2 linked regions of the Caenorhabditis elegans genome follow. The protein of the gene in region 2 purifies or fractionates together with the protein of the main gene of each other region. This does not show direct contact. Each region holds a gene or a part of one and is shown on either strand. Other genes may lie near its edges.

The links.
Region 1: the proteins of W03C9.6 (region 2) and F29G6.1 fractionate together in Caenorhabditis elegans (co-fractionation; one large-scale study listed by BioGRID). This does not show direct contact.

Annotation. Positions count from the first base shown.
Region 1 is NC_003284.9:11,494,308-11,511,223, reverse strand, and holds F29G6.1 (Kazal-like domain-containing protein), read right to left. Parts: upstream 8,958-16,916; 5' UTR 8,763-8,957; coding exon 8,672-8,762; intron 8,299-8,671; coding exon 8,182-8,298; intron 8,124-8,181; coding exon 8,043-8,123; intron 7,311-8,042; coding exon 7,124-7,310; intron 7,076-7,123; coding exon 6,990-7,075; intron 6,925-6,989; coding exon 6,698-6,924; intron 6,422-6,697; coding exon 6,302-6,421; intron 6,257-6,301; coding exon 6,200-6,256; intron 6,155-6,199; coding exon 6,086-6,154; intron 5,531-6,085; coding exon 5,408-5,530; intron 5,360-5,407; coding exon 5,246-5,359; intron 5,198-5,245; coding exon 4,979-5,197; intron 4,937-4,978; coding exon 4,713-4,936; intron 4,354-4,712; coding exon 4,133-4,353; intron 4,089-4,132; coding exon 3,922-4,088; intron 3,876-3,921; coding exon 3,703-3,875; intron 3,661-3,702; coding exon 3,475-3,660; intron 3,428-3,474; coding exon 3,087-3,427; intron 3,045-3,086; coding exon 2,893-3,044; intron 2,786-2,892; and 9 more. Other genes in the region: ccdc-149 (Coiled-coil domain-containing protein 149), read left to right, coding at 8-172, 230-406, 767-859, 902-1,039, 1,116-1,253, 1,301-1,376, 1,438-1,564, 1,612-1,762; hrg-11.3 (C-type LECtin), read left to right, coding at 11,375-11,435, 11,482-11,716, 11,768-12,011, 12,761-12,893, 12,939-13,008, 13,116-13,185, 13,229-13,289, 13,428-13,658 and 11 more.
Region 2 is NC_003280.10:11,948,852-11,965,735, reverse strand, and holds W03C9.6 (MFS domain-containing protein), read right to left. Parts: upstream 11,229-16,884; 5' UTR 11,220-11,228; coding exon 11,147-11,219; intron 10,978-11,146; coding exon 10,826-10,977; intron 7,546-10,825; coding exon 7,188-7,545; intron 6,577-7,187; coding exon 6,403-6,576; intron 6,362-6,402; exon of another isoform or gene 6,288-6,361; intron 6,227-6,287; coding exon 5,944-6,226; intron 5,749-5,943; coding exon 5,469-5,748; intron 5,387-5,468; coding exon 5,319-5,386; intron 5,269-5,318; coding exon 5,154-5,268; 3' UTR 4,997-5,153; downstream 1-4,996. Other genes in the region: rab-7 (Ras-related protein Rab-7a), read left to right, coding at 1-81; W03C9.2 (uncharacterized protein), read right to left, coding at 641-787, 836-905, 1,319-1,507, 1,866-2,142, 2,832-3,015, 3,066-3,233, 3,282-3,362; W03C9.1 (uncharacterized protein), read left to right, coding at 3,675-3,845, 3,892-4,057, 4,106-4,263, 4,420-4,519, 4,563-4,723; W03C9.8 (uncharacterized protein), read right to left, coding at 16,310-16,387, 16,744-16,860.

The sequences.
Region 1 (16,916 bases), on a different chromosome or scaffold from region 2:
ATTATAGTTTACCGCTCTCCAACAAAAATGCGGTGCGAAAACAGACACGATCGTGAGACTCGGACAAGATTTGGAGAAATCTGAGAATGAGAAAAAGGGACTTGCGGCCAGAGTCGAAACACTAGAACGAAATTTGGAAAGATCTGAAAGAGAATTGCAGTTAGTATGTGCGGTAAGTCAACCTTCATTAAATAAATCATTATCAAATTTTTAACGAATTTTAATTTAGTGTCAGAACGACATGAAAATAAAATTCGGAACAGAGCGACAGGATTTGATAGAAGATATTGAAAAGTACAAGCGAGAAAATCAACAATTAAGGACCGACAGGCAAGAATTGTTGGACCAAAAAGCTGACTTGAAAAAAGACTGCAAAACGTTTCGACAGACAATTGCTCAGTTTGAGGTAAACATTTGAATATTTACAGAATATCGAGAAACATTTCTACTTATTTCATTTCGTTTTTTTTTAATTTAAAATGATTATATTGAGAGATTTATTGCAACAGAAACAAAAAATCTTGACAAAAAAACGAGTTTATTTCATAAAATTGATTCATTCGTTTTTCAGGTACAAATACCTTTTAATCTTTTTAAAAAGTTCATACATAATAATATGAGACTTTGCAGCAAAGTCTAATATTATTATGTAGCATAAATTTAATTTATAGCCATTATATTGTTTTATAAACAATCTTCGATAAAAACATTTTGCGAAATTTGTACTTAATTTTTTAAAATTAGCTTCAATGTTTATGGCTTTTAGGTAGAAAAAATGGGAGGACCGGTTCGAAATTCATTTTCAACGGAAAATGACGAAGTTTCAAAGCTGGAAGCTCATGAAAAACTTCAGGCAAAGGTTTGTTCCGTTTCAATTTGGTTTGCCATAATTGTTTTTCAGTGCAAAGGTCTTGAATCGGATCTCCGGTCTATGCTTGGAATCAAAGAAGAGCTGCTCATGGAACGCGACGAAATGCAGCGGAAGGTAGCAAGATTGAGCAACGAGTTGAGTTATTTGTTGAATGGAGATCCGAGAAGGGTAAGTCAAGTATTCCCTTTTTTATACACCTGGTATTCGGATTGTTTTTGAGTTGAATTCTAATTGGCGTATTTAGGTGGCCGAAGATTTGGACAGTTTAGTGGCCGAAAACCGGTTTTTGAAAGCCAAACTAAACACTGCAGAAGAAGAGAGTGAGTCCATAAAAATGACACTTGCCAAATACAAACAAATGGCCGAAGCTGTAAATGTACAGGTAACTTTTTGGAATCATTATCGCCTATGTGAAAATTTTATTTCAAGACGATGGTGAATAGATCTCCAAAGGCTGGCGAAGGAGATGACAAACCAAGTGTAGCAGTCATCAATATGAAACAAAGTGAGACTTTTTGGACACAGTTTTTGTACTTCGTATTCCATTATTTTCCGGCATATTTCAGTTCGTGAGTTGCTAGCTTCTCATGCCATCGAACTCGTCGAGTCCGATTATCGTGCGATAACAACTATTCTGCTCGATTTGTGCAATGATAAGCAAATGGCGTTGGCACACTCACGTCGTGCTAACAAGTGGGAGTCATACAACGTTTCAATAAGGAATACTGTTTTTTTTTCAGAGTACTGGGAATGAGATTACATGAAGTTGAATCAAAGCTTGCTGTATTAGATATAAAGTCAAGAAGTTCAAGTCCGAGGCATGAACTCCCTCGAGATGAAGACATTGAACTGGTAGTCCCAAAGGCAGTGGCAAGTACATCGAGTAAATGAATAAATCGTTTAAATGTCAACCTTTTCCAAACATCTCACCATTTATTTACAAAAAAACAACTATAAAACAAAAAAGTTAAATTATAATTTGATTGGGAATCTTCACGTTCGTAATAGCGGGCAGGGTGTGGCAAGAAGCACGTCTTGTGTTCGTCGCCACGTTTCACATGCTTTCAGATTAAAATAACACGAGTTTCGGTATATGTTCTCATGTTGGTCACAAATAACAGACAACTCATCTGTACATCCAGCGGGACAGCATTTTCCTGAAAACAAGTAGTTCAATAGTTGTATTGAAGTAACAAGAAAACAAACCTTGGTAGTCCAGGGTTAACGTTGTGTTTTGAGTATGAATCTTGTCAAATATACACTTTGAGTTATGAAAGTGACAAAGAGAATCATGAGTTCGACCTCTTGAGTCACATACCGGCTGTCCGGTTTTTGGGCACGAAGCTAATGCACAACACTCTCCTGAAAAGTTGCATCTGTTTGAAATTTTGAAATTTATTTTTTTATTTAAGGTGATTCATTATAATCAAATTGTCAGGTATATGTACATGTTCCATTTTAAACATGTGTATTCAATGAGTTAATATTGAGTACACGAAAAATTTCAACTTCATTTTTTTTGCTCTTTTTTTTTGCTGTTGTTGGTTTGAAAAAACTTTAATATACCTGTATGAACAATGTTTAGAGTCTTCTGAGATATGGTTTGTGCCATACATCTTCTTTGTTGATAAACACAATGATTCATATGAGTTTGACCCTCTGAATCACAAACTGCTCCAGAACTTTCACACTCTCCTTTTGGGAGAAGACAACACTCTCCTGAATAGGCAATGCTGAGCGTTTTGTTTACTCGTTCTGCTTCACATTGTGCAATTCTGAAAGTGTCAGTATTTGCGGTCACAGAAAATAGGACAATATATGAGCCTACCTGAATCTGCAAATGTTCGGATGTGTAATTGTTCCGTCGCAAACTGGGGTTTTATCTTCATCACATGGCTGGTTACAGCATTGTCCCTTTAATTAATGTAACTAATCTGATTTAAAGTTAAAAAAAAAATAATATTTTTGTCCTTATAATGGCATTGGAAACCTTTCGTTCAAAAATTTATTTCAGAGTTTACCTGATAGGAAACTTGAATGGTTTTCTTGTTCTTTTTCATCTGAATGCATGCATTTTGATCCATGAGACACATATTCGCATGGGTTACTCCTTCAGTATCACAAACTGGTGAGAAGACAGAAATGTCGCAATTTTCGATTCTACAGCATTCTCCTGAAATTAATATTTTTATTTGAAACTAGAAAAATTGCAAACCGTCGTAATCTTTCACCAGTTTATCTCCAGTTGTCACATTATTTTCTACAAGACATCGAATTTTATCTAGTTCACACTCGTTCACAATGTTCTGCCCATTTGATGCACAAACTGGGCTGTATTCTTTTGGACACGCGTTGTTACATTCCTTGACTTCATTGCAAACTTCAAATTTGTCAATTGTAAGAACATCCCCAAATGTTCGTTCGGCAATACATCTTTTGACTCCGAAATGGCATATGTTCTGATGAGTACTTCCTTTACTATCACAAACTGGGCTGAAATCGGACGGACAGTTGGTATCACAACACATTCCGGTGTAAGCAACTTCAATCGTCGAGCTGAAACTCTGATCATCTATATTTGAAAAACTATCAAACTTCATTACTTCGCCGATTCACAAATCTCTTTCTGAAGGGAGCATGCGTTGGTAAAAGTAACTCCGTTAGTTCCACATAGAGGATCATATGAGTTGTCACATTCCATAGAACAATTAAAAGTATTTTCTCTTTTGAATTCTATGTTTGGTTTTTGGAAATTTCGATTGCTTGAAAAGTCATCGGTTAGCATATCTCTGAAACAAGATCTGCATTTCAATTTTTCATAATTTTCCTACTTTTCGCAAATCCCTTGTGAAACAACGACAAGCTTTGGTTGATCTAATTTCTTCAGCTTGCAGTTTTCGATGTTTAGTTCGCATTCTGTCAAAAACGTAGCTCCACTATCAGTGCAGACTGGATCCGGTTTTTCAGTATCGCATGACTCAACAGGAGGGCAACATACTCCAATCTGAATATCAAAAACAATTGATGAAACAATTTCTTTCCTAACTTACATATTGAACAGTTAGGTTCACACCGTATCCGCGCTCAAAAATGCAAGACAACATTTGATATTCACACAGTGATTTTGTAGATTGGTCTTCCAAGCAAACAAAAGACTCATCCGGGGAATTTTCTGCTGGGAGAGCACATGGAGAATCTAGACATTCGCTGCATTTTCCTGAATTCAACTATTTGAATGTTTTTTTTTCCAAAAAGTGTAACCTTTGAATAAAACTTCTAATTCAGAATCCAAACATTTCTGTTTTCTAAACTGACATAGATTTTCATAAGTGGAAAAATCAGATGCACAAATAGGGTGTTTATCATCAGTGCACGGCATTTGGCATGCTTCCTTTGAAATACAGTTCTCTTCAGTAGCAATGTGAATTTGATGTCCTTTGCTAGCAGCAATGCAGCGAGAGTAGGTAAACTCGCACAGATTTCTGAAATAGTGAAAATGCTGTTTCAATAAAATTATTAATGTGTTTATTGAAATTGTTGGACTGATTTTGTACAAGAAACTCATCAAGAATTACTCTTGAAGTATTGGCTACTGTGTAAAAGCTGTATACAAACATTTTATATGGTAAGTTAAAACCTGATTTTAAACAATTAGTTAAGGTGATAATTTGTGGTACATCTACCCCATAAGATTCAACACATTTTTCAGTGAATATGCATTTTTCCAATGACATTTTGAACAATAATTCGTAATGTTTCAACCCCATTTCCAAAATTTGATTTGACAAAAAGTGTGATGATATTCCAATAAAATTTCAACGAGATAGTTGTAATTGCTTACCCATGCAAATTTCCTGCCGAGTCGCATACCGGTTGTCCATCTGTTGGGCAATTAGGTTTTGGACAATCGAAGAAAGCTACGTCAAGTGGTGTTGTGGTTTCGATTTCTATCTCCAAAATGGATTTTGTCGTTGGGTCCGGAAGCGTTGAAAATGTGACTGTTGGTACTTTAATTGTCGTTGTCACGATTGTTGATGAGGGTGATGGAGTGCTTGTGGTACTTTTCTTAAAAACAATTTTTCGATTTTGACGATTTTTTTCACTTACCAAGACTTTCTCAAATGCGCTTACAATGAATGTAGTTTTTTCAGATGCAACAGTTTGTTTTAACTGTGAAGTAGTGGTTGATTCAGCAACTGATTTGGAAGTTTTTATTACAACATTTGAAACTGTTGCCCTCATCTCCACATTTTCCACTGCATTATCTATTTTTCTATTTTTGACACACGGCCGCAAATATCTCAAATACGGCGAGCGAATTCCTAGCTGAAGAAATGTTTGGTAAGTGCATCAATTTTTCAATAACACTTAAACCTTTCGCATGTTGCAATTGTATTGCTGAAAATGACACAGGTTTTGATGAGTGTTATTGGCTTCATCGCAAACGGGCTTCACGTCGCGACTGCAAGTCCTTGGGCAAATTTCGTCCTGGAAGTTGAGAAATTACGTGACTTTTCTCTCGATTTCAGTCAGTACTTTAAGAGTAAACTGAGGACTTCTCTCATGACACGATTTGATGTGAACAAGCACGCGTTCTTCATCTTCATTGTTTCTGGCCTCACAATTGTATTGAATAAAAGAGCAAAGAGTAGGATGCGTCTGAAATATAAACTTCAAAACACATATGTATACAGAATTTAAATATAGCATATTTAGAGATTAAGTATAATTAGACGTTTAATTTTAAGTATTGCATAGGTTCTTAAAGTTTTAGTAGCGCAAGTGGAAGCATTGCTTTAAAACTTGCCTATGACTTTACAGTGACCAAATAGCATAATTTAAAAATATATTGTTTTATTACTTTTATGATTTTCTGAAAATTGGAAAAATCGCAGTTTTTCACTTTTTTTGGAAGTCGTCGATCAAAAAACATCTGATTTCTTTGAATTTTATGATCTATGTTTAAAAATTAATATTCAAACTTTGTAGAAATTCCAACATGCAGCAGTGCTATAGTTTTCTCCAAAAGTGGCAAAAACTCAGTAATTGGTATTTTTCACTATCAATAAAAATGTTTCAAACACTTTTTGAAAAGTTCTACTATGATATTGGTTTGGGATTAAGAACTTAGTTTTAGAGTACAGGAAAAGAAAAGGTATCTCGACGAGCAAAACTTAAACTGGGAAACTTTAATTTTTTATTTTCAATACATACCATATTACGATTATCACAAATAGGAATCTTTTTCTCATCCTTTGGACATGTTATACATGTACTTTTTCTCTAAAATGAAAACATTATTGAATCCAAATTTTCCTTCAAACTCACTGCTCTACAAGCTCCTGAATGAGCAATATCTATTACACTGCCATCTATTTTATTGATCTGAAATGTGACGTTTGAGCATTATCTCCAATAAATTATTTTCACCTTGCAAGCAAAAAACTTGAACTGACAAACATTTTTATGAGTTCGATTTCTAGTGTCGCAGACCGGATCCCATGATTTATCGCACTCTTTGATACTGCATGCACGATTAAGATCGTTGCGCTGAAAGAGGAATTCGAAATCTTTGACATTCTTCAAATTTTCTGCCTCTCGAGACTTGTTTGCTTAAATTTTTACCGTGTAAAGAAAAAAACATGTCAAGTAAGGTTACAATTTAGTCTTTGTGAAATCAGCCTGGTCTTTCTTTTTTGAAAGCGAAAAAGAAATGCTGTAATCGGAGATAGCATCAGTTTGAATAATGGCTTTGATTCTATCGCCTCTAAGCATACCTACTACACCGATTACTGACAGAGTTTACCGCTTCTTAGAAAAACTAACCGTCAGAGGTGAATGATTTTCACGATGCTTTGAAGCAGAGGTTTTTGCAATGACCTTGTTAATAAAAGTCTCATTTCTTGATGGTTTTTCAGATTTCATCGGGATTGTTGTGGATGCAGTTGTTGTGAGATCGGGTGCCACAGTGCTGGCTTCCGTCGTTTCCAAATAAGGTTCATCTGCGTAGGAGGTGTATGATTCCACTCCGGCCAATTTGAATCGCTGGGTCTCTAAACCGTTGAATCAGATCACCAAAGTCCATGTGATTGTCGTTCCACACATTCCTACCACCTACCTCGACTCCTCAAACAAAACTTTCTATCCTCTGCCAGTTGAATTCGTTGACTCTCTAATTGTAATTCGCATCTTCGCATTTGGAACCTTGAAACGGAACATGTTTATCAGACGGTGATCGAACTGTCCACTCACACACACAGATTTCGATACACAGACCCATTCGTGTCACATACCGGGTCGAATTCAGTATTCGTACAATTATGATTGCAGTCTTTCGAAGAACATCGGCCCATGTGTAGTTTCGTCAACGACAAGCCCATGCTTTTCTTCATGATACATTGAAATTGAGCAAAATGACAATCATTGATATGTGTTTCTCCTAAAAATTAAAATCTTCTGTGAAAATATTTAGAAACTACAGGGTAAACAATAATTTTTGGAAACTTCTTCTTTCATGTGAGAAGTTATTTTAAACTTTCGAAATAAAGTATTCAGTAGAATAATTTTGTTTGTTTTCAGAAATATTATGTATAAAATTCTTGTCAAAATGTTGAAACATTATAAAACTTCTTTCGTGTTCGAAAGTATTTTAAATATTTCATTAATAAAATTATAAAGATTGATTTATTTGTTACAATCACTAAGTTTATCACAATGAGTTTTTATAGTTTAGTTCTGCCATCTAGAACATTAATAAAATTTTCAATTTTAAAAAGGAACAAATATTGACATTAAAAAAGAGGTTTGAATATTTTTAATCGGATGCTCCGTGAACATATTCGATTTTTAAACTAGCGTACCGTTTGCAAGTTTTTATTTAATAAAAAACTTTTTTTTGAGAAATATTATTAGGATCAGTTTTTTATGCACTCCACGTACGTTTTTTTTTTCAGAATGTCATTGTTTTAACCCCAATTACGTTATATATACTTCACAACTGAATGGAAAATGAAACCAATATATTTTTATCAAAATTAATTAAAATTCTGAAAGTTCAACAACTTCTGTTATAATGCGATTAGTTCTAGACGTTACACACTTTTTTCTAATATGTATATTATTTGAACGAGTGCAAATGATTTTTTTTCCAATCTAATTCTCAAACACTAACCGAAGTTGTCACATATCGGCGTTCCTACTTTCTCACACTCCTTTTTGTCGCAGCAGGTGCCGTTGTAAAAGAAAAGAAGATCTGTGAAAATAAGTCATTAATCGTAACATAGGGGTCATATCTAAAAAACAAAGAGTACCTTCGTTTGTGCGTTGAACACATCGCAAAAAGCACAAGTTGTTGTAAGTAACGTTGTCGGTCCCGCAAACAGGACGAATCACGCTAGGACAGTCGCAATCCGGTGGTGGCGAGAATCCTGTAAAAAGCAAAATTAGCATTTTCTCTTGCATGTATTTTCACTCATAAACATCATATCTGTCATTCAACACATTACTCTAGCCATTAGCCACCAAAAGGAATAAAAAGAAGACATCCGGATAAAGATGTTCACACTTGTCTCATCTTTGACTTCTTCTTCATATCTATCACACGTTTTTCTGTGCTAGACCTGTTGAACAGAAAAATAACCTTCAAAAAGAATATCAGAAAGTGGTAAGAACACACAAGTAGGTAAATGGATGTAGGAAACGAGGAAGGAAGTAAGACTTTTGTAAGGAAAAAGATAAATGAACTAACTAAGATAATTTTTAAAAAATTTTTATTCGTGGCCAATTGTTAATTATGTATACCTTTTTGATTCTCTTCTTCTTCACACCTGCTATCAATAACAATTATTAGGAGAAATAAGATAGAAAGAAACACGTTTCTACGGATAAGCATGCTGGTTGGCGGTGTTCCACATGAAGACGATTGAGGGAGATGATCAGTGATTAAGAACCCAATGGGATAAATCACAAAAACAGATGTGTGAAACCGTATGGAAGTACTTCTTAAGACACGGAAGGATTCCGTAGACTTTGCAAACAAGGGGTAACGTCAAATGCGGGCGCCGTCACTGGAGGCCGTCAACTTGCGAAAAGGCAAGTTCTCTTTACTCATCGTCAGTAACTCCTCCCATCATTTTTTTTTGGTCTTACGTCGAGAAAATGAGAGGTTGACGGGTGCGTAAAAGGGAAAGGATAGCAACGAGCTTTAATTGAAAGATCGAACAGCTGATTCGATGGGATTACACTAGCTACGGAAATTTTGAAAAGTGACACTTAAGATGATAATTTGTTAGTTGAACTTGCTACAGATCCATATCAGCTTCCGTTGCGGTGTAAGTGTGATAACGATGCGAATTTAATGAAACAACTTGATGCCCATTGTAAATGTGTAAAAATATTATGTGTGGTCTCAACAAGCTTTGCAAAGTTGTTCAGAAAATCAAAAACTGATAATCACTATGATATCAGCATTGCTATGCTTTATTGGAAGCATAGGTACTTTTGGGCTCAACTAAGGTGAAGTAGCGTCAGTAGAGAAGTTATCGAAGCTTACTACAATGGTGTTAAAATTAGAAAATATTATAGTAAAAGTTCTCAAAAGCGTTTAAAACATTGTTTTTTTGTAGTCGAAAAGCGACGCAAACACGTTTTTGACTGAAAATATTTTAAAAATGTGGAAAAAACAATTGGAAATGATTTTGTTCACATTTCTAAACCATTTATGTTTAAACACTGTGGGGGACTGTGCTTTTCTTTTTACAAAGGTTGGTACAAACTCATTCTTTGTCGTTTTTGTCTGTTAATATAAACATTTCAAAATGATTTGACCAGTTTTAGTACGATATTCGATACTTTCGGCTCTACAGGAGTAGTTTTAGCCAAAAATCCAATTTTTCAATCATTTGTTATGCTTGTTACGCTATTACCGTATTTCCTCTATTAGTCTTGCACCCCTATGTGACGATTGAAAATTATTTTCGCATGCAAGACTAATAGAGGAAATACGGTATGTTATTCAAGAGTTCAAAACTATTTTAATCGGAAGATTAGTTTAAAGAAACGAGCAACTGTATTCAGTACAGTTTAAGTGCAATCTTCAAAACAGTTCATTAACGTTCAGTTAAGTTAAGTTCATTGAGTTCCGGAACATAATCCTCGTTATCATAGTAAGATTTAAATTTTCTTTTACTCATCTCAATAGTTTCACAGACGACACTCACTTGACCTGATGAAATCACTATTACTGATTCAGAAATAATTGAAAAATTGCATTTGCAGATATTTAGTGCCAGCAGTAATGTAATCATTTTCGAACATGGGTGTGTTCATATGTAGTTGAAGGTACACAAATTATATCTTATAAACAAAGATATTTGATTCTTTCCATGGTGCGGTTGATGTTAGTCGGCCTGAGCGGAAAATATTTAGTTTTAGCCAAATAATTTTTAAATATTTTTAGACAATGTTTCTAATAAGCATTTTTTTACAAAATTGTTTCAAAACATTGCTACAAAATTTGACTTGAGTTCCATTTTGGGTGTGTACTCCTTACGTAAATTAATTTGTTGGCAATTTTAAATTGATAGGTCTGATAAGAAATTGAATCATATCAGGAAACTACATATTTCCAACGAGTCGGTATGCGATCAAAAGCGAACTATCATAATTGCACAAACATATCGAGGAACACTGTGATTATGCAAATTTTAGTATAAAACACAAAGAAATATAAAACAATCTTTTTCATAACATTCTTTCTCTGCCCTACACTATTTAATACTTTCTACAAAATTTTTGAAATTTATAAAAAAACAACTACAATCTGTTCAAAAGTCAATTAAAATGCTACGATCTCAAAAAATCATCTAAGTATGCACGAAGAGCGTTTAGAATTATTACAACCAAGTTTATATATTAACCGAATTAGTACAACATATTAACCACATAGCATTCGTTTTGATACATATCCATGACAAATCTGCATTTCAGGGTTTCCGAGATCGATCTGATTACTTGAAAACTGAACCGTTTTTAAAATCACAAGCAACAAGTAAACATTCCCAACAATGATAATAGTCTAATTCAAAGTAAAACGTAAAGCCAGTAGACCGAACTACACTGTTGTTATTTCCAAACAGACTTAATGTTTTAAGCCAAATATTTTCATTCATTTCATTGTTGTAAATGTTGCTTTGAGCAATAATATCTAAAGGTGAAGTAAATTCCCACGTTTACTTTTGCTCATAATCTTTATTCATTCGAATAATATTCAGAATTATCAAAAAACCATCGTTATACACGCCTGTCGTCGTGGTGCCATGTGCAATCACTTGATAACCATATTAGTTCTTGAAGGCAAAAATGTGGCAGTCGGCAAAACGTCGGGGCAAATAGCAAAATTGGCTTATCAAACAATAAAAAATTTTCACGGTCTTACATATGCGATAGGGCAAGACAAGCCCTTCCAGTTTCAGTCCGCTGCTGCTCGAGTCGCCACTGCACACGATGCGGCTCCTACTGGCTTTATTTTTATTAGTAACAGCAGTTGCAGCTGCTCCAAATCTTGGTAACTCAAACTAAATCTATTTTACAAAAACAACTTTTTTTTTCAGATTCCGTATTTCATCACCTACCAAATTATTATCCCGAACTAACAAATACTGATGCTTTCCATATTCGAGCAAAACGTGCGATTTTTGCCGTTCTTGGAATTGCCAACCAATGCGAAAATGGATGGACTGGTGATGGATGCAAAAACCCAATCTGTACTGATCCAAAACCTGCACCAACATCTGGACAGACTTCCAGTATTGAGATTATGTTTATCCAAGGAAGCTGTGGTGGACCGTAAGCATGAGTTTTAATTTAGTTGCTTCAAAACGATTTTCTTTTTTCAAGATTTTACATCCCTGTCGATTCAACAGGCAACAAGCCTACCCAAACCATTCAAATCCATGTTTCGGCTGCTGGAATTCCATATGTGAATATGACCGATGCAAAGGGAGTTGTATTTTCTCCATCTTACTCCGTAGCCGACGATAGCTATTCTCTGAATGTCTACGCCGATCTTCCATCTGGTGGATATACCTTGTCCATTGATAACCAGGGTGTTCCAACAAGCGAATGCATCATTGAAGTTAATGTAAGTGAGATTTTGTAGTCTGCCTTCTAGTTACATTTCGCACATTTTCATTCAAAATGTTCAACATTTGCCATCGTAACAAGATGAAAAACTGATAACCATGAGTTGCCTCCCTACATTTTTACGAGTTCGGCATATCAAAATGGGCGCGCTAAAAATGAATTAAAACGTGGAATTGGAAATAAAATGGCGCGTTATAAAAATACTGTATACCATGTCGTTATTAAAGATCAAATCAATGAATAATATAGTGAATTCATCAAAAGAACCTTACCTAAAGTTACATAATTTCTGAAATTCTTAAAACCTGGAATTGTCTACTAAAATTAAGAACAAATTATATTTAAAACAACGATGTTCCATACTGCCCAAATGAATTGTATATGTCATACATACTAACTTATATTTTGCTTCAAGTGCACCGGGAAGTTTTCAAAAGTTCAGACATTGATAAGGAATGTCATTATTCAGATTATTTTATGAAATGTAGTTTTCCTAGCAAAAAAAAACGTTTTTATAAAAATAAAATAAAACAAAGGTTTTTTATCTCTGATTAACCATCTTTGATTAACCAACAACCAATTTTTAATTTTGCAATTATAAATTTTGTGCCAGCAGCCATTTATTTATAAAAACTGCGAGAGTTCCAACATATAAAGCATTATATAAAGCATATTTAATTTATAGTTTTCAATTTTAAGTAATTTCCATATAAATTTCAATACAAAAGCACATGAAGTCAGTTTTAGGGTGACCCCAGCGGATTGAAAGCTGTGGATGGATTTGTGTATTCTCCACAGTCAGACGACCCTCCATATGGTGAATCTGCAATCAACGGTGTTCCGATGTATATGGCCGCTCACGTTGACAATTCACCAGCTCGTTAGTTTCGTTTTTTAAATATAAAACAAAATCTTTATATTGCAGAAGTTCAATCTATCACCATTCGCCAAGGCAATTCTTTGGCTCCAGTCTACAGAGCAGCTCTCACAAGAAGGTAGGGAACTGTATTTGTGGAAATAATTAGCATTTAGACTTGATTTATCTCCTGAAAACATTAACACCCCTATAAAAGCAAATCACTTTCCCCATTCATTTTTTCAGGTATCAGTGCGGGTATGAATACTATGCAGGACAGTGGCAATGTCAACTTGGAAATGCCTACTTCTATCATGTACTACGAAGTTCAAATTAAAATGTTTAATGTTTTCTTTCAGATTGATGGAGTTGACGCCAACGGATTTAACTTCAGAAGAACCGGAAGATTCTCATGCATGCGTAAGTCAACAACGCTTTTGTTATTTGAATGATTAGTTTTCTATAAGCTGAAAGTGTCATGAGTTTATTGAGCTCAGGCGTTCAAGAATTATTAGTTTCATAACTGTTAACTACAAATTGCAATCAGTCTTTTTTCAGAACTTCTCACATCACCAGCTCCTCCAACAACGACCCAAGCTCCGGTGACAACTTGTTTCAACAATGGAACACTCCTCAATGTTGCTAACCAAGGCCAAACATGCTTCTGCTCTGAGCTGTTTAATGGAAAACAATGTGAAAAAGTTAACTGTATGAACGCCGGATTCCCAGATCCAGACGGTAATCTATGCGAATGTGCTGCTGGATACCATGGAACAAACTGTCAAGATGGTATGTTAAGTTTCAGTTATATTTATATATTAAATATATCTTTCAAGTTACCTGTCCACTGAACTGGGAACAATATCTTACCAACTACAAGACATTGGTTGTTATCATTCGAAGCACCGTTTCGATGAATCAAAACCTAAATGCGATCTCCAGTGCTATCTACAAAGAACTAACAAGTAACGACGGCAACAACTACGAAGTATACAAAGGATTTGTCATTGTTAAATTTGCAAACGGTGCTTACACCAACACCTACTACCCAGCATTTGACCAAAATGCTTTCCTGGCTGCCATCAATCAAGCTTCAACTGCTGTTGGACAATGTTCGGATGCTACTTTTGATGCGATCGGCTCTATTTTTAACGAAGTCGCTCTCTATCAAAAATCTCCAGTCTATTTGTTCACTGACGCAACTGCTAGTGATGTCGAGAAATGGCAAACCGTCATTGAGCAAAACACTCGCATGAAGTTCCCGGTACTACATAACTGATGTTAACATAAGTAGAAGTTGCAATTTCAGATATACACTCACTACTTTGTTCAATCTAATTGTGCATTTGATGAAATGAGCCAAGGTTTCCAAGCCATCGAATACGCTTCTTACTACAGTGGAGGACTTATCCTGAGACCATCTGTTGACTCTTTGCAACAAGTTAGTTTACAATTTATCCTACAACACCATATTTTGCTTGTTCAGATTTTCCAATACGTGATCAAAGCAACAGCCTACAAAATGAACTCGGTACTTATTGACGATCTTGCTAGCTGCGCCACTCCAACGAGAGTTTTCTTCGTTGACACTTCAACCACTGAGCTCATGATTCTCGCTGTCGGACAACAGTTAACAGTTTCTGTCACAGATCCAAATGGAAATACCAATACTCTTCTGAAGATTGTCGACAGTGGAACTACTCAACTGTATGAGATTTCAAACCCCGTTGTTGGTGAGCACTTGGTCACAGTTGTGTCAAATGTGGTAAGTACTATTGAAATGAATAATTCAGTTTTTTTGCTCACTACATAGCTTAACTGAAAGAATTGAAATGTTTTTGTTTGCAGCAAAATACTCCGTGCTCGTACCGTGTTCAAGCCCGCTCAGAATATGATCTTTTCATTGGAACTAGCGTCGGAGTCAATGATGATGCTAGTGACTCGGAACCAGTCGTCGGACAATCTTCTCACATTGTTGCTCAACTAACAGGACTTAAGGGCAAAGTAGCCGATCCATTCCGTCTTTTCTCTGAAATTTCCATTACATCTAATGTAAATGTGGACAACAAATACCAAAAACCAATGTACTACTCCAGTGGAAAATACAGAGACGGATGTGGTTTCCATATGTATTTTGGAGCTGCCGACTTCTGTGATTTCATGTCTCAACCATTCTATGCTACTGTCTATGCTGACGATGGAAAGGGATTCACCATCCAAAGAACTACCACTGGTTTCTGCTCTGGAAGTAAGCCTTCAAAAATTGTATTTATCACTTTTTTGGCGCAATAGCTAACTTTTTTGTCGGAAACTGAGTAAGAAACGTGTACATATTTCAGCGCCAACGACACCGTATCCACCAAACTCTTGTCAGAACGGCGGAGTGACCGATCCAACAAATAACGCTACTTGCATCTGTCCACCAGGTTTTTACGGACAATAGTAAGTGAAAATAACATAAACTTGATTGACGTTCATATATCAATTTAGTTGCACAAATATTCAATGCGTAAACGGAGGTACACCAAGAGGAGGAATGTGTGTTTGCCCAGTCGGAACTGCTGGAACTTTCTGCGAACAATGTATGAACTGTGTAAATTTGAATTAAAATAGGGATCTTATATATTTCAGACATGTGCACCACTTTCAACAACAATCCTGACGTTTCATTCGATGGACAATCCATTGCCTTTGTTGTTTCTACTAGATCAACTATGAAGGTAGCTGTTCAAAAAATTGCAGACAATGTTCAAGCAATGACACGTGATATGCAACAAGCATCTGACAAATGGATTAATAAGTGGATTTTGATCGCAGTCAATTCAAACAGTATGTTACTTGATTAGGGTAACAGTCGTAATATTCAATTATAGCTTCATATTTGCTCGTTAACTCCGCTAGGCCAGCTGACTTTGTTGCTGGGGTTACCAATCTAAATGGAAACTTCTCAAACTACGCTGCTGATGAGACATCTTGCCAGATTCAAATTGAGCAAGCTATGCTTGGAGCCGTACTTCTTTCTGAGAGACGTTCTTCTGTCTGGGTATTTGCTGATTCAGACGGGCCAAATGATCTTTCCTACGTTCAATTGTTTGACGTATCTCAACAGTACCAACTTTCTCTTAATCTTGTCGGTGTTGGTTCATCCATTTGTACAACACCAGAAAACAACGGGCAGTTCCCATACTATCTCAGAAGTTTGTCACAAACGACTCTCGGAGATATCTATATGACTGATAAACTCGATCAAATTATGTTATTCATTGTCAGTATGTACAAGTCTGCAGTCTCTCATAGATACTACGTTCCTGATTGTACCAGTGCTACTTCGTATTACATGCCAGTTGATGGATGGACCCAATCCCTTACTCTTGCTGTCACTGGAACTGATCTCTACAGTGTCGAGGTCACATTCCCAGACGGACAAAAGGGGCAAAATTCGGACTATGAGCTCGTTGCTATAAACGATCCTGAAACCAAATTGAACCAATATGTGGCTGGTAAAAAATAAACTTCATTAATTCGTTGATAGTCTTAGTTTTTTAGCCTGCTCTGGATCATTCTGGAATCACAGACAACAAAACTGCTTCACATTCACCGCTGACAAACTATCTTGGCTTGATACATGGGATATGTGCCATGCTCAAAAAGCATATTTACTTCATATTGATAGCCAGGCAACAAACGACTATGTTGCTAGTAAGACACTTAGCATTTTGATAGTTTTATAGCAGTAATGTTTAGGTCAAATTGGATCATACCGAGTTTGGATTGGTCTTGCATTCAATAATGGTCAATGGTATTGGGATGTTCCTGATGGTAACTTTGCTCAGCCTTTGGTAATTTGAACAAAATTTTGTCTGAGGCTTTTATTATCTATTTCCAGACTGGTTATACTAACTGGGCACCAAATGTTGATCCAACAAACCCAGCTTACAACCACGCGGTAATAAACAGCAACGGAAAGTGGGAGCCAGCTGATCCAAATGATGCAGCCAACAACTTTGCTGCTTGCATGAAACACAGATATGGGCAAGGATATTATCC
Region 2 (16,884 bases):
AACGATTTCCCAGAGTTTCCCGACCAAATCCGTCTCAACCCAAATCAACAGAACCAGCAGAATTCGGGATGCAATTGTTAACCGTGTGCTGCTCCGCGCAGAGCCCTCTATCTCTATCTGCACAAAATGTATTTTTGACACATTCGATTCAATTCAATTCAATCCACACAACACACATTTCCTCTTCCCTCGTCTCCACTTTCTAAAAATCCCAAAAAATTTGAAAAGAAAATCCCACAGATTACGGTAGTCACCCTTTGCCGGTCCCCAATCACCATCTACTTTTTTTCTGGGAAATTCTTCCGTTATACACACCATTCGATGCCTTCTAGTTTTTCATTTTCACTCAAACTCACTTTTTTTCTTCATTTTTTCTCGTTCCCCCCCCCCCCCCCTGATATATTTGCCATTCATTTGTAAATTTTTACACCGAAATTCTAATTTTTTTTTCGAAATTCAGTTCCCTTCCCAGAAATTATTGCATGTTCTTTTTATATAAATTTAACATCCACACAAGAATGAGCATATATTGTCCGAATTTTAGGCTTTCTAGGATATGTTTTAGGTAAAATTTACAAGTTTTGTGAGTGAGTAGGGTCAATATTTACAGTTTTTTCTTCAATTTTCAACAAGCTGGCTCTCAATTGGCGTCTGGAAGTGGCTGAAACTGGTTGCGGAGGATGTAGTCGCTGAGGCGTTCCTCGCGGAGCAAATCGCGATCCAAATGTGGACGATACGTGTGTGGATACAGTTGAAGACGAATCTCGTACAGGAAATTGTCCAGAGCCTGAAAACCCGAGATTTTTTTGGAAATTGTGGGGATTTTCCTGAAAACCTTGTAGCAGAACGCGGCTTCTCCCTTGCACTTGCCGCAACGCTGGTCGAAGCAAAGAATACACTCGAATCTGGAAAAATTAAACAAATTGCATATTTTTGGTGGAAATTAAATAGAAAATCCATTAAAAGAACAATTTTCGCTGAAATTTTATGGAAAATTGTCTCGAATTTTATTTTTTTTAATTTAAAAAAAATTTTAAAATTTTTCTACGGGAATTTCAATATTTAAAAGTATACATAATTTTTTTTTCTCAGAGAATTTTATAAAAATTCCAAAAAAAAATTAAATTTGCACCGAAATCTTGTAAATGTTTTTTTTAAAAATTCACATAACCGAAAATACGAAACTTTTTTCACGATTTTCTTAAAAATAGGCGAAAACTGAATTTTTGATTGAAAAAATTCCGAAATTTCCTCAAAAAATCCGATTTTAACTCGTTTTTGACGAATTTTCAGTGATTTTTCTCATTTTCTCCCTTACGATTCTTCATTATGATCGCATTCCTGACGTTTTCTCTTCTTATTCCCGATTTTCTCTTCCGAAGATCCCTTTGAAGATGAGCTATTTGCTCCGAGAGCTCCCGGAATCAACAAATTTCGCATTGCCATTGGCCAAAGTGAGCTCTCCTGTTCGAGTGGCTTGATGTGGCGGAAGCTTTTTGAAATATTTCTGAAAATTCGTTAATTTGAAAATTTTGTTTGAAAATGTTCTGATTTTTCAGGTTTTGAGTGAATTTTTCGATTTTTTTAAGCGAAAAATTCGAAATTTCTTCTATTTTTCATGAAAAATCCCTCAAAAACATACATTTTTAACAATAAAAAAACTAAAATTTCGGATTTTTTGAGGGAAAAATTCGAAATCTGTTCGATTTTTCCATTAAGCGTACGAATATTCATAAAAATTATGGAAAATTAGTTTTTTTTTCAAATTTTCCATGAAAATCCCATCAAAAATTGATTTTTTCGATTTTTCAATCAATAAATTCGAATTTTCTTCACATTTCACCATCAATTTCTGATATACTAACGCGACAAAAGCCTGCGCAAAAACGGATCCAATAGTGCCGGCGAGTTCCTGTGACGAATCGGACATTTTCGCCTGTGGGCTCATCAGACAAATGCACAAAATTCGGCCCAAAATCCGATGGTCCAGGCTGACGCAGAGGCCTTTGTCGAGAAGTCGAATCAAATGATTTCCGTCCAAATGACCGATATTTGTAGACATTAGGAAACGCTCACAGTTGGTGAGAAGTGGTTCACTGTGGAAATGTGAAAGCATATCCAGGACGGGGACGATGCTTGACACTGAAAATTTGCGATTTTTTAAGTGAAAATTTTATTTTTTTGCTACAAAATACCTGAAAATAGCCCAAAATTTGATAAAACCACAAAAAAAACCACGCGAATTTTGAATTCCCTCAAAAATGAGTGCTGCAACCAATCAGCGATGAGCTCCGCCCACAGCTAATCGCTGATTGGTTGCAGATCTCATTTTGGTGGCAATTCAAAAATTCATCCAATTTTGAGCCTTTTTAGCTGAAGTAGCGTGTATTTTAATTGAAAAAAATAAATTTTAGGCCATTTTTCCATAATTTTAATATTTTTGCGTAAGAAACTGATTTTTAAACCTAGTTTTAAAAAAAAATTATTTTCTTGCTATTTTTCAATGAAATGTGCAGAAAAATCTCTATTAACTATAAAAAGAATCAATTATGAGCTATTTTTAGTTGAAAATCAAACAAATTTGTCTTTTTTTTTTAGCTAAAATCTGTTGAAAAATAGCGTCAAAATCCATTTCTCACATACATAGTTTCTCAAAAAAAAATCAACTCAAAAGTGCAATCTGAGCCTTTTTTTAATTGTAAATGCCAAAAAATTGAAATTTTCTCCGATATATTGCAAAATTCGATCAAAATCCAATATTTCCTGCTGAAATTCCAGTGATTTTCCAACATTTTTCCAATTTTCGCTCCAAAAAATCCTAAAAATATTACAAGTGAGAGGTGTTGGGCGAATCCCGTAAAGCGATGGGCACACCGAGTCCAGAAACGCGTGGAAATTTCTGGAAATGATCGGCGATTGGAAGCGGTGACTGCAATCCTCGTGCGGTGCCGCAACACTTTCCGGAGCCGAAATCCACGTGGATTTGCAGTTTGTCGAGAATTCCACGTAGCTGAGCTGTAAAAAATTCACTTTAATTCTGAAAAATCACTTTAAAAAACACTTACGCCATCGAATTTCTCAAAATAAGCGCAACTCGGGACGAGCTCCTTCAAATCGACGAAAAAATTCACTGAAACTTCAGATTTTTCCGGATTTTCTTGATTTTCCAGACATTTTGTGATGAGTGTGATGCGAAATTGTCGATTTTGCGACTGCTCGTGATAGTTGACAGCCTGAAAATAGGAAAATTTTGGGTTTTCAGTTTTCTTGTCGATTTTTACTTTTTGCAACGGAATTTTCGCTTCATCCAGCGTATTCATGAGCTCAGAGGTAACACAGAGTGAGCACGTGTTCCATGTCATCTGAAAAGTGCAAAAAACTTGAAAAATTTAGTGAAAAAGAAAGGAAAATGGATAAAAAATAAAAATTTGCGCCCAACGATGCTCCGAAATAACAGCGGAGCATCGTAGCGTGTGTTGTTTAGCGTAAATAATAAATCATTTGAAAATTCAAAATTCATTAAAAAAAAGAAAGAAGAAAATCGTGAAAACCACAGAAAAAAACAAGGAAAAAGATTTTAATATTATCAACAAAAAAAAAACAAAGTGTTAAAAAAATTTATTTCTAATTCCAAACATCTCTCGAACCTTCGATTCAATTCTTCTACAACAAAAATGCAGCAAGATCAGTTTTTTCTAATCGTAACTTTCCCATTTCTCGTTACAAGTTTCGCACTCGTCTCGTGCCTGAAAACGGCTTGGAAGTTTAAGGGATCTGCTGACCCCTCAGAAGCTTACACAAAAACTTTGCCAGTCGCTGTGAAACCGAAAAAAGACGAGAAGAAGGTAAGTGCGCTCTAGTGCTAATGGGTGGCAAATTCAAATTTCTCAGATAAAACCAGGAAAAACTGTGAAAAAAGTCGATGGAAAGGACAAAAAGGCGAAGAAACTTTCGAAATTTTTCGTTTTCAATCACGGAAAAGACGAGGATTTGAAAACCGCGGTCGGTAGCGAACCCACGTTGGATTCCACACAAGAATCGATCACTGAGGACGACGGCAAGTGCGCCCCATTGAGAACCATCCCGCGAAATTCAAATTTTCCAGAACACGAGTCACCTCTCAGTGATAACTACAAGTTCAGTGATGACGAGAAGCTCGACGGACTGCAAATTCTGCCGTCTCCGCCGCCGAAATACGTGGAAAAACTGAGATCTCGTGTGCGACAAACTCGGCGTGGCAAGAAGAGCCCACAGGACTACTATGTACGTGTAAAATCGTGTAAAATTAACTTTAAGTATAAGTATATTGAGTTTGAATTGAGTTTGAAAAAAAAAATGTGGGTCCCACCACGAAAAGCTACAGTAACCTGAGCTGAATTCAAATTTCTTGATCAAAATCCGAAATATTTTAAATTTCAGTGCACCGACGAAGAAGATTCGCTATTCGATGTCCCATCCCTGAAGATTGACCCGGCAACCCTAAAATCTTCCCGATCAAGCATTCCGCTGAATATTCAAGGTACATACAGTAATCCATATACATCCACATCTCTATATATCAGACTCCCGTTTGCTCCGCCTCAACCAAGATCGCCTCGCCTTCAAAAAAAGCCACACAGTGTACCCTCATTCTGCAATCTCGCCGCACTCGAATCGCATGCATCGTTCCGAATCGCGTTCTTCCCGAGAGTCGGAACCAACTACTATCTCACAGAGATCTTGAGAAATCAATAAAGTTGTCTTGATTTCAACGAAAAAGTGTTAAAAGTGTAAAAAGCCTCAGCTAATGAAATCACCTCACCAACAGTCAGTGATATGCTCAATTGATCATCAACGGCAAAGCGGCGGGGGGGGGGGGGTCGAACCCGCGGCGTGTTTCACGGCCGCGCAGCCGCTACCCGCCTGCGCCACAACGGTGTCACCGAAATTGAACGACAAGGCATTGACAAGAGAGCGGCACGAGGAGGAGTGTGCCGAGCAGAAATATCCAAAAATACAAATAATTAAATTTTATTCATCGCATTAAAAACAAATTAAGAGCACAGAAAAATACAGAAATAGACCCGAATATCTCATCAAATTGAAATACAAAAAAAACGTGATAAAATTCAAAAAACGTTCGCAACAAATTTTCGAAAAAAAATCTTCCACTTTTACGAATACTGCCGAAGCCTCGAGAAATTCGCAATCCAATAAATCGATCCAAGTGCCACGACAATTCCATTGATGGTCCAAAGTGTCTCAAAACCGGAATACGTGTAAACTCCGCTGAAAATCAAAGAAATTTGCGCGTAAGATGCGGTGTTTCAGGTACTTACGACGAGTAAATTGGTCCCAGAATGAGAATAACGTCCTCTGCGACGATCATGGCTCCTTGCATTACGCTCTACAAAAGGTATGGTTTTAAAAAAGAAAGTATTAAAAAAATAATGTTCGTTTATTTTTTCCAATATTTTTGAAGCCCTTACCTGATTAATAGGTCCCAGAGTTTTCGAGTAGATCGCATCGAGAGCCACCGACGAGAGCGGGATCCCAATTCCCATGACAACAGCGATCACAATGAGCAAAAGCGGAGCCGCCGGAGCATATGATGTGTCACACCAGCTATAGGTCGTCGAGTTACAGCCAACATCGGCTAGGGCGTTGTAAGGGGGAACTGGATTGCTCACAGGTGTCCATGGATAGGTGAATACGTACATTGACATGAAGATTACCAAACCTATGAGGAACGCGATGCGTTGTTGGAGGCTGGAAAATGAGAAATGGGTCTTGCCGCGAAAAGGCTATATCTCGAGATATCTCGCTTGTCTCTGGGTTTATCAAAAACTTTTAACTACGGAAGTATTCCTTATTTCTTTGCCTACAATTTTGTAGTTAAAAATTTTTTCGCTAACTTCAAAAATAACCGAGATAATGATAATTAATGCCAAGTAGTAGACTTACAAATTGCCGAGATTGCAGAAAAAGTAGAGCCCGGCGACAATAACGGCTAGAATTCCGACTGCTCCAAGTGTTATCGACATGGCGAGCACAGTTTTTGCACCTGACCAGCCGTAATTTGTCATGAAAATTACAGAGGTTAACGTGGTGAGCGTGACGACTGAAAGTGTCGCGTTCATTTTCTGGATCCAACACAAAACGACGATTCGCCAGTTCAGATTCATTTGAGAAACCTTTTCGATTCTCGATTTGACTCCAGCGATCGTAAGGAATGATTGATTTTTCTCTGGAATTTTTTTGTTTTTTAAGAAAAACTACAGTAAGCCGATGAAAAAACGGCAAAACCATAGGTCCTGGCCGGGATCGAACCGGCGGCCTACTGCGTGTAAAGCAGACGTGATAACCACTACACCACAGGACCGGTGTGTCGGCGCCTCCCACAAAGCGGTTACAAAGACTCACTCATGTCGGATTTTGCACGGCGTGGCAGTTCTTTCAAACAGCATTTGATGATGGTGATGGAGATGAAATTGGTTGCGGCGGCAACCCAAACCGGCGCCGAATAAATGTGGAATTTGACGTTTGGGAAGATTTCCCATCCCGGATAGTGAATCGATGAGAATGCAGCTTGGATTACTGTAGAAATCGATAAAATCACGTGAAAATCATAAATTTATTTTTTTTCTAATTGAAAAATATTGTTTTAAATTAAATTAAACCAATTCACCTCTTCAACTGTGAAATACCACGATTGTTCAAGTTCTCTAGACTCCTATCACGACCGAAAAATTTTCAGCTACCGTACCCCGAGGGTACTGTAGTTGAAATGTTTCGATCGTGGCAGGACCCAGTGAAGGTAATTTTGTGTTATTTTCACAATATTTCGCACAAATTCTGGATTATTAAATCTAAGACACTTATTTCGATAGTTTTTATTTTAAAAAATCGACTTGTGTCCTAAAAACCAAAAATCGCGATTTCTAGGCCATCAAGTTTTAATTTCAAACTGCTATAACTTGGTGTAAAAATTTAATTTCCAAAATTTGAGAAAATCATTGTACTCGTCGCAAAAATTTGCACCGAAATGACTTATTTAATTCTGGTGGCCTAGAAACACGAATTTTTTGAATTTCTAGGCCACCAACTTCAAACCGGTATAACTTGCTTGAAAATTGATATTTTTTGCCGGTTGAAAAACCAACTGAGTTCAAATTTTGATATGTTTTCAAATAAAAATGAAAACTAACTTGGTCCGACAATAATCGAGATCATCGTGGCCGCGTTCAATCCGGAATAGGCCTGCGGACGATCTTCATGCCTAGAAATCGCAGCAACATAGGCGCGAAGAATTGTGGAACTGCTCGAAGCAACTCCAAACAGAATATAACACAAGGCCATCACATATCTCCGTCCACTACCGAACATTTCGACGCATAGGTAGAGTAGGCAGGCACCGAAGGCGATAAACCGTCCGGCGATCAGAGGAATTTGGAATGATTGAAATCGATGGCACCAGATTGCGAAGACAAGTGCCGAAATGGCGTGGAAGAGTTTTGACGCGGCCGTGGCGTTTCCGAAGAATTGTGCGTCGGCTTCCTTGTCGATCTGCAAGGCTATTCTGTTTGTCAGTTTATATCTTGGTTCAAGCCAAAGCCTGAGCCTAAGCCTAAGACTAAGCCTAACCTCTTAAAAAGTTACAAGAAGGTTTTTCCTTGCGCTTGGAGCGCAAAAGAAAAGAAAAAGAGCTATTTAGACTTAGGGTGCCCAGCTGGAATAAAATATAGGAAATCCTTATGACACACTTAAGCCTAAGGGCCCGAAAAACATACTAGGATGCCCAACTGGAATAAAATATTGGAAATCCTTATGACACACCGGCGGTATGGCGCGGCTTAAGCCTAAATAGCCACTTTTATCAAAATACATTTGAGCTCTGCTCGCGTTTTACTCTAACTTCTCAGGCAACTCAAAAGTAGTCTGTGGATATTTTTCAGAAATCTGAATAAAGATTATCACTAAGAAACTTGGAAATTTTGTAATATTTGAAGGGATGCGAGCAATCTCTACATATTTGCGATCAACCTTTGGAGATTTTTTTTCTTAGTGAAGTTATAGAATGCCAATATTCAAATTCCTATCTCATGGGAAGAAAAGTTCAAATTCTGTACCTGCGTATTATTTTTTACAACTCCGTTCTTTCCACAAGAAAGGCCTTCTTCCCATGAGATAGGAATTCAAATATCGGCAGCATTCATAGGTACAGAATTTGAACCTTTCTTCACATGAGATAAACATTTTATATCGATCAAATTAACCCTCAAGTAAAGTGGGACCTTTGATGAATATAATCATTCTGATGATATTTAATTCCGATGATTAATCCATTTTTCTTTCTCTCACACTTATGAACTAAAATGATTACTAAATTAAGGCGGGATATTCTAAGGTGTGATAACATATGATATTTATTTTTAAATTTAAATAAAGTTTTTTTTAAATTTTTGCTAAAAAACGAATAGTTTACAACCGCCTCGCTCAAATGTATTTTGATAAAAGTGGCTATTTAGGCTTAAGCCGCGCCATACCGCCGGTGTGTCATAAGGATTTCCAATATTTTATTCCAGTTGGGCATCCTAGTATGTTTTTCGGGCCCTTAGGCTTAAGTGTGTCATAAGGATTTCCTATATTTTATTCCAGCTGGGCACCCTAAGTCTAAATAGCTCTTTTTCTTTTCTTTTGCGCTCCAAGCGCAAGGAAAAACCTTCTTGTAACTTTTTAAGAGGGTTTCACATATTTTATTAAAATCGGGGCGAAGCCCTGATTTTAAATCCATATTGTTTTTGTTTTTGTCTTCCACTATCCCTGCAAATAGGAAAGAGAATGTGTTCTTTCTGATAAAGTATTTAAAAATCATCTTAAAATCTTGAAAACTGAGAGCAGGAGGTAATATAATGTGTGTCTCCCTGTGGGTGGGGTGGCGATGTGTTGGCATCCAACCCTTCAACGAACTGTATCTCCCGCCTGTATCTCCCTTCAAAGTGAGAATTGGGTTACAAAAATTTGAGGGAATATGAAAAAAGGTGTGAGGATTTCAAAAATATTATTGTTGAAACACCAGACCAAACCACTTTTTCTGGGCAAGAGGCAGAAAATTAATTTTTTGAAAAATTTCAAACTGGCACAAAATTTTTTCAAAAACAAATTTTCAAAAATTTTTTGATAGATTCCATTTTTATCAATATTGTTCATTGAACACAGAAAAGAAAACAAAGATTCATCAAAAAATGAGTGAAAAATCGCAAAAATTCGAAAAAATCAGTGCTGAAAAACTCGATTTTTTGGCGGTGCTGAAAAAAATTTTCACTAAAATTTTTTTGAAACTTAGTTTTTCGGATTTAGCGTCAAATTTTAAATCTATATAAAAAAACAAAATTAAAATTGATCTCAGATTGAGTGAATAATAAACGCTCAAAGTTGAAAAATGAACAACGCAAAAACGGCAGTAACTTGCTTCAAGGTCGGTTATCTCAGTGAGTTTTCACTCAATTTTCGAAATTTTTTTGCTCTATCGCTTTAGAAATATTTGTAATTTCATTTTTTTTTTCTCAAAATCAAAATATCTCAAACGACCGCCATCCTACGAGAAGGGAAAAAAAAAGTTTTTGGAAAAAAAATCAAAAATTTTTTTTCTGCCTCGCTTTTCAAAATGAAAAAATCACTTTTTCGGAATAATTTTTACTTTAAAATGTACCTACGATCTTTTTATACAACAATTTCACCTTGGAACCAAAGATTTCTCAAAGACAACAGCGCACGAAGCGGTGGTTTGCGAAAAAACACGAAAAAAACACACCGAAGTGGGAGGGGGGAGGTCAAAATTGCGAATTTGACTTTGGAGCTCTCTAAAAGAGCTCATAGCTGATGGATCTGGATGATTTGTATGTTTTTCGACGCATCTCGTCGAGTACTATAAACTGCTAAAAAATCTCGTAAAAATCGCAAAAACTCGAATTTTCCTGCAAAAAAAAGAGGCGAAAAATGAGAAAAAAAACGTGATTTTTGGAGGATACTCGAAAATACTCTTCATATCTCGGCTCAAAGAGCTCCAATCTTTCTGAAATAAAGCATACAGAGGTGGGGCAAGTTTCTTGAAGAGACAGCAAACCGCATCAAAATCCATCCACCCACCGTCAAGTTACACGCGCGTTTTCAGAGCGAACGAAAAACAGGGCATAAAAAAATTTAGACGCCCGCACCCGGACTCGAACTTTTGTCGGATTTTGAAGCTTAATATCTCGGCTCCTGTAAATCGAAATTGGCTCAAAATTCACAAGAAAACTTATTTCACTGCCGTCCTCCTGTCATTAAATTTTCGTGAGCTTAGGGAGAAAACTGACAAAACGCCAAACTTTCAAATTTTAAAAAATAGTTGAGGGTCATTTTGAAAACACCTTAAGCTCCATAACTCGGCGAGTTTCGATGGAATCAATTTGAAATTTTACACGGAAGCTTCTTAGTGGCCTATACGTCTCTGTGTTAAATTTCGCTTTGATCGGCCAACGGGAACACTTTGAAAAATGAAAAAACGCTGTAATCCTAACCCTAAATAGCGTCAGTGGGGGAGCTAACGCTAACGCTCCCCCACTGACGCCAAGCCTACGCCTAAGCCTATGCCTAAGACTAAGCCTAAGCCTACGCCTAAGCCTAAGCCTAATCCGAAGTCGAAACCTAAGCCTAGGCATAAACCTAAGCCTAAGCTAAAGCCTAAGCCTATGCCTGAGCCTAAGCCTAAGCTCAAGTCTAAGCCCAAGCTTAGGATTAAGCCTAAGCCAAAGCCTAAGCTTAAGACCAAGCCTAAGCCTACGCCTAGTCCAAGCCTACGCACCTGATTCATATAAGGCCACTCGCTCATTCCGACTACAGTATTCTCGATCGCAGCAATAAACATGACCAGCGACGCGATTACGATGGCTTTTCGGTCTGTAACCATGTCGGTGTCCGATTCACTATCATTACCGTCTTCTTTTGAAGGGACATCTGAAAATTTTGAACTTTTTCGGGGAAAAATTATTTTCTTGGTTTCAAACTTCCTTTTTTTACGATGAAAAAATAAAAATTTCTAAACTTTTTTTGAAATTTTTGACAGAAAATTACTACAGTTGAAATTTCAAAAATTCAACAAAAAATTCGAAGCTCCTTTTCTCACCATCAAAATCCATCTTGCTCATTGAAATCGTGGGAATTTGGAATTTTTCGTCAGGAGCCTGAGCTACAGCCATTTTTTCTTGCTGAAAAAAAATTATTGGTGGCTAAAAAATGTTTACAAAGTTGGAAGAAATATCAATAAACCATAAAAATGCGCAGAAAACGAGATTAAAATTATTATAATCAATCAAGTGGAAACACAAAGAAAGAAAAGAAAACATTGAACTCTTGAGTTTGCCTAAAACAAATTCCCATCGAAAAAATGTTTTGGGAAACTGGAAACATTTTACAGAAATATTACGTCATAGTGATCAAAAATCAATAATAAGATAACATCTCGAATTTCAGAAATCATAAAAATTATTGCAATTTTTCCTGGTTTTGAAGGCGGTTTTTTTAAGTTAAAAAAATTTAAAAATTGTAATTTCAAGTGGCAAGTGTCAAGTGTTTGGAACAAAGAGACAAAAAAAAGGAAAAATGTTTCGAATTCTTCCAAAAAAAAAAGTACAAGTAAGTAAGTATTTCGGGCGGTGCGTTTTTATAGACCCATAGATATTCGGTGTTTACAAAAAGGTCGTTGTGGGTGTCCAAATTTGACGTGGTGAGGTGATCGTTAAAAATGTTTTTTTTTTGGTAAAAATTCAATAGCCCACATCATTTTTTTTCTAAATATTTTCTCAACTTGCCAAAATTATAAAATATCAGTTAAAACTTGGGTAACCAAAAATAAATTAAAAACTTTTTTTTAATTAACAAAAACCAAAGTTCAGTATTAAAAATTTTTTTCGGTGAAGTTCTGAACCAGATTACGGAAATTAAACAGATTTTATTTAAACATACTAGTTTATTGGAAGTTGAAAAAAATACAATGATCAATTTGGTCAACCTAAAATAATGGGAAAATTTGAAATTTAATTTTTATTCAAATTCTAAAATTTCCCAAATCACATTTTTCTACATTTTAGGCGCGAAATTCAAACAGAGAAAAGAATTTTTGCAAATTTTTTTTCAATTAATAAATAACTAATTTTTTAAAGTTTTGGAGCAAAATTTTAAATTTAATTAATTTGAAGTTAGAAATTAAATTTAAAAAATATTGGTTGAAAATTGGAATTTCAATTAAAAAACTTGCCTCAAAACTCAACGTTCAATTTTTCAAAATAAAAGTTCGACGCCAAATTCCAATTTTAGTTTTGAACCAGTTCTAGGGCGTTTCCGGCAATTGCCGGTTTTGGATATTTCTGCCAAATCGGCAATTCCGGCAATTTCCAGTTTTCAAATTTTTCGGCAAGGATAATAGAAAAGTATGACGAACAAGGTTTGCCACCGTACAAAGTGGTCAAAAATTGTGGGTGGATGGATGATGGAAAAGAGAAATAGAGGGGCAAAAGATAACCGGTTGACAAGGGGGTACGGGACAGGGGGGGATAAATGGAAATGAAACAAGAAAAAGGGCAGAGAGAAAGTGATTGGCATTCTTGTATACAAGGGATGGGGGATCTATAAGACTATGTCAGGTAGTGTGTTTTATATGGGGCCTGTAAAATAGTAGTGGCTCACTGAACAAACTACATACTTGGTTTGTTTCATTGGTATCGGAATAGAAAAATCGACGATTTTTTGTTGTGAGGGAATATATACCTTTAACATTTTTTTCTATTTTTCACCCAGATGCAAAATTAAAAAAAAAATTTTTTTCAAGTTTTCAGAGAACACAATTTCGGCGGGAAATTTAGATTTTCAGATAAAATTTTTTGGCGGGGAATTAAAATTTTTTAGAAAAAATACAAACCTTTAAAGTGTTGGAATATGACTATTTTAAACATAAAAAAGTTTTTTAAAATGATATTTGAACATTTTAACACAATAAAAAAAGTTTTCAATCAATTCCCCATTACTCCACATTTAACAAAAGACCATCAGGATCAAAAGATTCAATGCGGAAGTTTTTTGATCTTTTCAATTCAATCATTTCGAGTTCAGAATGAAAATTGAGAAATGTTTTTTTTTCTGATTCCATCAAATCATTTTATTTGTCTGATAGAAGACGCATTATAAAAAGTATCTCTGCGGTGGTGAGAAAGATTAAAATGTTATCAACTAACGAAATGTAGATAAAATTATGCTAATTAATTTGATAATTGGTAAGATTTTTTATACACATTTGAAGTTTGAAAATTGGAATTCTGAAACTACAAAATACAATGAAAAATGAAAACAATACACTATCATCATCATTTTGGGAAACCAATACACAAATGTTCTTATTCACCGTTTTCCCACAGCGGTTTTCCAGACAATTCTGAATTTAAAATTCTTTGTTTAAATGTTTCCCATTCGCCTAACAAATTGTATGACAATCTAGGGATAACAGAAATTTTTTTGTTTTTTTCAACATGTCTATTGACTTTACGAGTTAAAGGATTAATAGAAAGCATCATAGGGACAAAAACAACGGGAAAATGAAAAACAAAGACATATGTTAAAACAGAAAATTTAGGCTAGAAAATTTCATACTAATAATACATAATAGTTGTTCCAAAAAAGCATGGGAAAAAATTGCTTTCTGATGTCAGAATTAATGAAGAAGCTATATTAAGCTAAATTTCTAAATTTAAAGTGTTACCCTAAATTGTAAAATTTTAGTAGTTTAACAGGGAGATCAAAGTTTTTTTGCAACATTGAAATTTTTCAGCGATCATTTGAAGACCAATAATCTGCAAACCAAAGTACAGTTCAAAACTACAAACTACAATGTTCTTTAGTGTTTCAATTATGTAGTTTTTTGTTAGGAAGTTTAGATAGTCAAGTTTGACATTTATTGAGAATTTAAAAAAAATTTAAGTTGAACATTTTTTTGAATGATTTATTTTTGTAATAAAAATTAACTATAAAATTGAAACTTTAAAAAGAATTGTAAAAATGCAATAAATCAGCAATCGGATTTGTTTGAAAGATTTCACAAATCATAAAGCTAGAAAAAAAACACTTTTTAAGTTTCGTGATAAAAATTGGATGACCAATAAATCAAAAATCTGATCAAAATCTGAAAAGAAAAGTTTCACGTAGTGCCAGGCTGTCCCATTACGGTTTGATCTACAAAAAATGTGGGAATTTTTTGCCCAAAAAAGTGTGACGTCAGCACGGTCTTAACCATGCAAAATCAGTTGAGAACTCGGCGTCTCTTCTCCCGCATTTTTTGTAGATCTACGTAGATCAAGCCGAAATGAGACACTCTGACACCACGTGAAGTTTGAAAATATTTATTTGATTTTATTGAATTGACATGAAAAATAATAAAAAATTCATGCATAAAATTAAAATTGTGAACAAAAAAAAATTTGCATAAAAAAAAAAGCCAATTTTAACTTTGAATCAATTTATTTGAAAATTGATATTCGAATTTTAATACAAATTAGGAACCAATTTTTTTGAAAATGCTTATTGAAATCCTGCAATTCGATTTAAATTTTTTTTTGAATTTTAATTTGTCGGAAAAATTTTAACTTTGAGTTCCGTGCCAAAAATTTGATTTACTTTAAAATTGCAAATTTTTTTTGGGTTTTTGAAGTTTGAATTTTCAGCCAAAATTAACAAAATGATTTCAACCAGGGTGGGGGGATCAATTTGCCGAATGGCAACTGCCGCCCACCCTGCTACAAACTACAAATACTACAATACTACAAACTACTTGAGGATGTGATATGTAGATACATATCGATGATATATCATTGATAAAAGATATTTTGAAAACAAAAATGTTGAAACAAGAAAAACTGAAAATCTACATCTGTTCCACAACTTTAAATATATTTATAAATAGAAAAACACACGTGTCTTTAAACTTTAATATTTTAATACCTAATGTCTTAAAAGGTGATATACTTTGTTATCATCTCTTATCAGTGCTTTTTTAGTAATATGAGTTGGAATTCAAAAAATGAGAGAAAAAAACAAAAGTAGGTACACGTGGTACTTTAAAACATTTTTGATTTTGATAAAGTCCTAACAGTACACCATTTTATATAACTATTAAGTTCATTCAATCAAGAGTACCGCAAAAAATCTGGTGTTGGCTCCGCCTACCGATAATCCGATCACCTCAACAAATTCGTTTTTGTTTACCAATTTTTTCGTATTTATCCACCTGTAGTTTTATCTAGTAGGGCTTAGGTGTTCCTATGTTGATTTTTCAAAGATTTTGTTAAAAAGATATCAATTTTTGATGAATAAAAGGCTACAAAAATAAAATAATTAATTTTAAAAAAAACTTTTTAAAAAAAGTTTCGAAACTTGAACAAATGTTTACGCATATAAATAAACTACCTATTATTAATCCAATCACGAATCAATTACTCATCAAATAAAGGGTAATAAAGCAAACAATGATGTGACCCGGAAATAAAAATGATAAAAAATAAACTTGAAGCTTGAAAAAGATCTGACAAAGTGAGTGAGGTAAGGTAAAGCTTACTTATCCCAAAATTTTAAATAAAAATTCTGAAAAAGCACCATACCGATTCAGAGGCCACTATAAAAAATTTAGATTCATTTGAGTAGAAAAAAGTTGATCTGGAATTTTTCAGTGCATCATGGCCTGCGGAATTGCTGCTTTTTGGAGATTTTTTCAGAGTGTTTCAGTGTATAAAGTTTCAGATAAAGAAGTGTTTTGACAGCTTTCAAAATAATTGCTTTGCCATGAGCCTATAAAAAATTAAATAAAAATCTGCAAAAATCTACCTCCGGAGCCAATTTACGGGCTCCGAAAGTAGTGAAAAAATTGCACTTTAAAAATTCAGATTTTTTTCTTAAAAAAAACAAGCAAATAAATTACTAAAACGTTTCAAAATATTTACAGTTTTGAAACAAAATTTTCTGTAATTTTTTCACATACCGCAACCTCCATTAAAAACCTAATTTTCAAGCCATAAAATGATCACATTGTGATCGACAATACATCCCAAATCAAAAAAAAAAATCTGCCAGACAATTGGATAGATTGACTCATTCCTCAGTGACTCATATAAATTGGCAAACATTTTTCAAAAGAAAAACATCACCCGGAAACTTTATCGGGCGGTAAATGTGTACAACAAGTATGCAAATTCGAAGTAGTAGTCGAGAACGAAATTTATTCGGAAAAATACTACAAGTTGACAATGAATCATTTACGGGAGCTCGCAGTTTGTTTGGTTGACTTTTGCGATTTCTGAGATTTCGATCCGATCAGAGCTTCTTCTTCCTGAAAAATTGAAATTTACGGGGTCCCGTGAGATGTCGGTCGCAACTTAGTTCAAGGACCTGTAGCGCGAAATTCTACAAAGACTAATTTAAGAGGTCCAGAACAGCGACGGTTACTTGTTTTGGTATTCAATAAGTACCCATAAAATGTCGGCTGCTAATTACCTTAATAAAAAAATGCCCGCAAAGTTGCTCATTATGGGCCCCCGCGAACTGTCAGATGCTTATGGACCCGTAGAGTGTCGCATGCTCTTTCTGTTCACTCGTGGACTACCGGGCGCTAATTCGACTAAACCAGTGAGGTGTCGGTTACTTCCGCATGCTGTCCCAAAACTTGTCGGTCGCTCAAAGACTCACCCCACCAAGTGCATCATCAAATGAGACAGCCGGCAGTGGCTTCGAAATTGCACAATAATTGTAGAGCCCGAATGACACGATGAACAGTGCCCAACAACATCCACCGCATAAGATAATCTGCAAACGCGCTCAATTGAACAC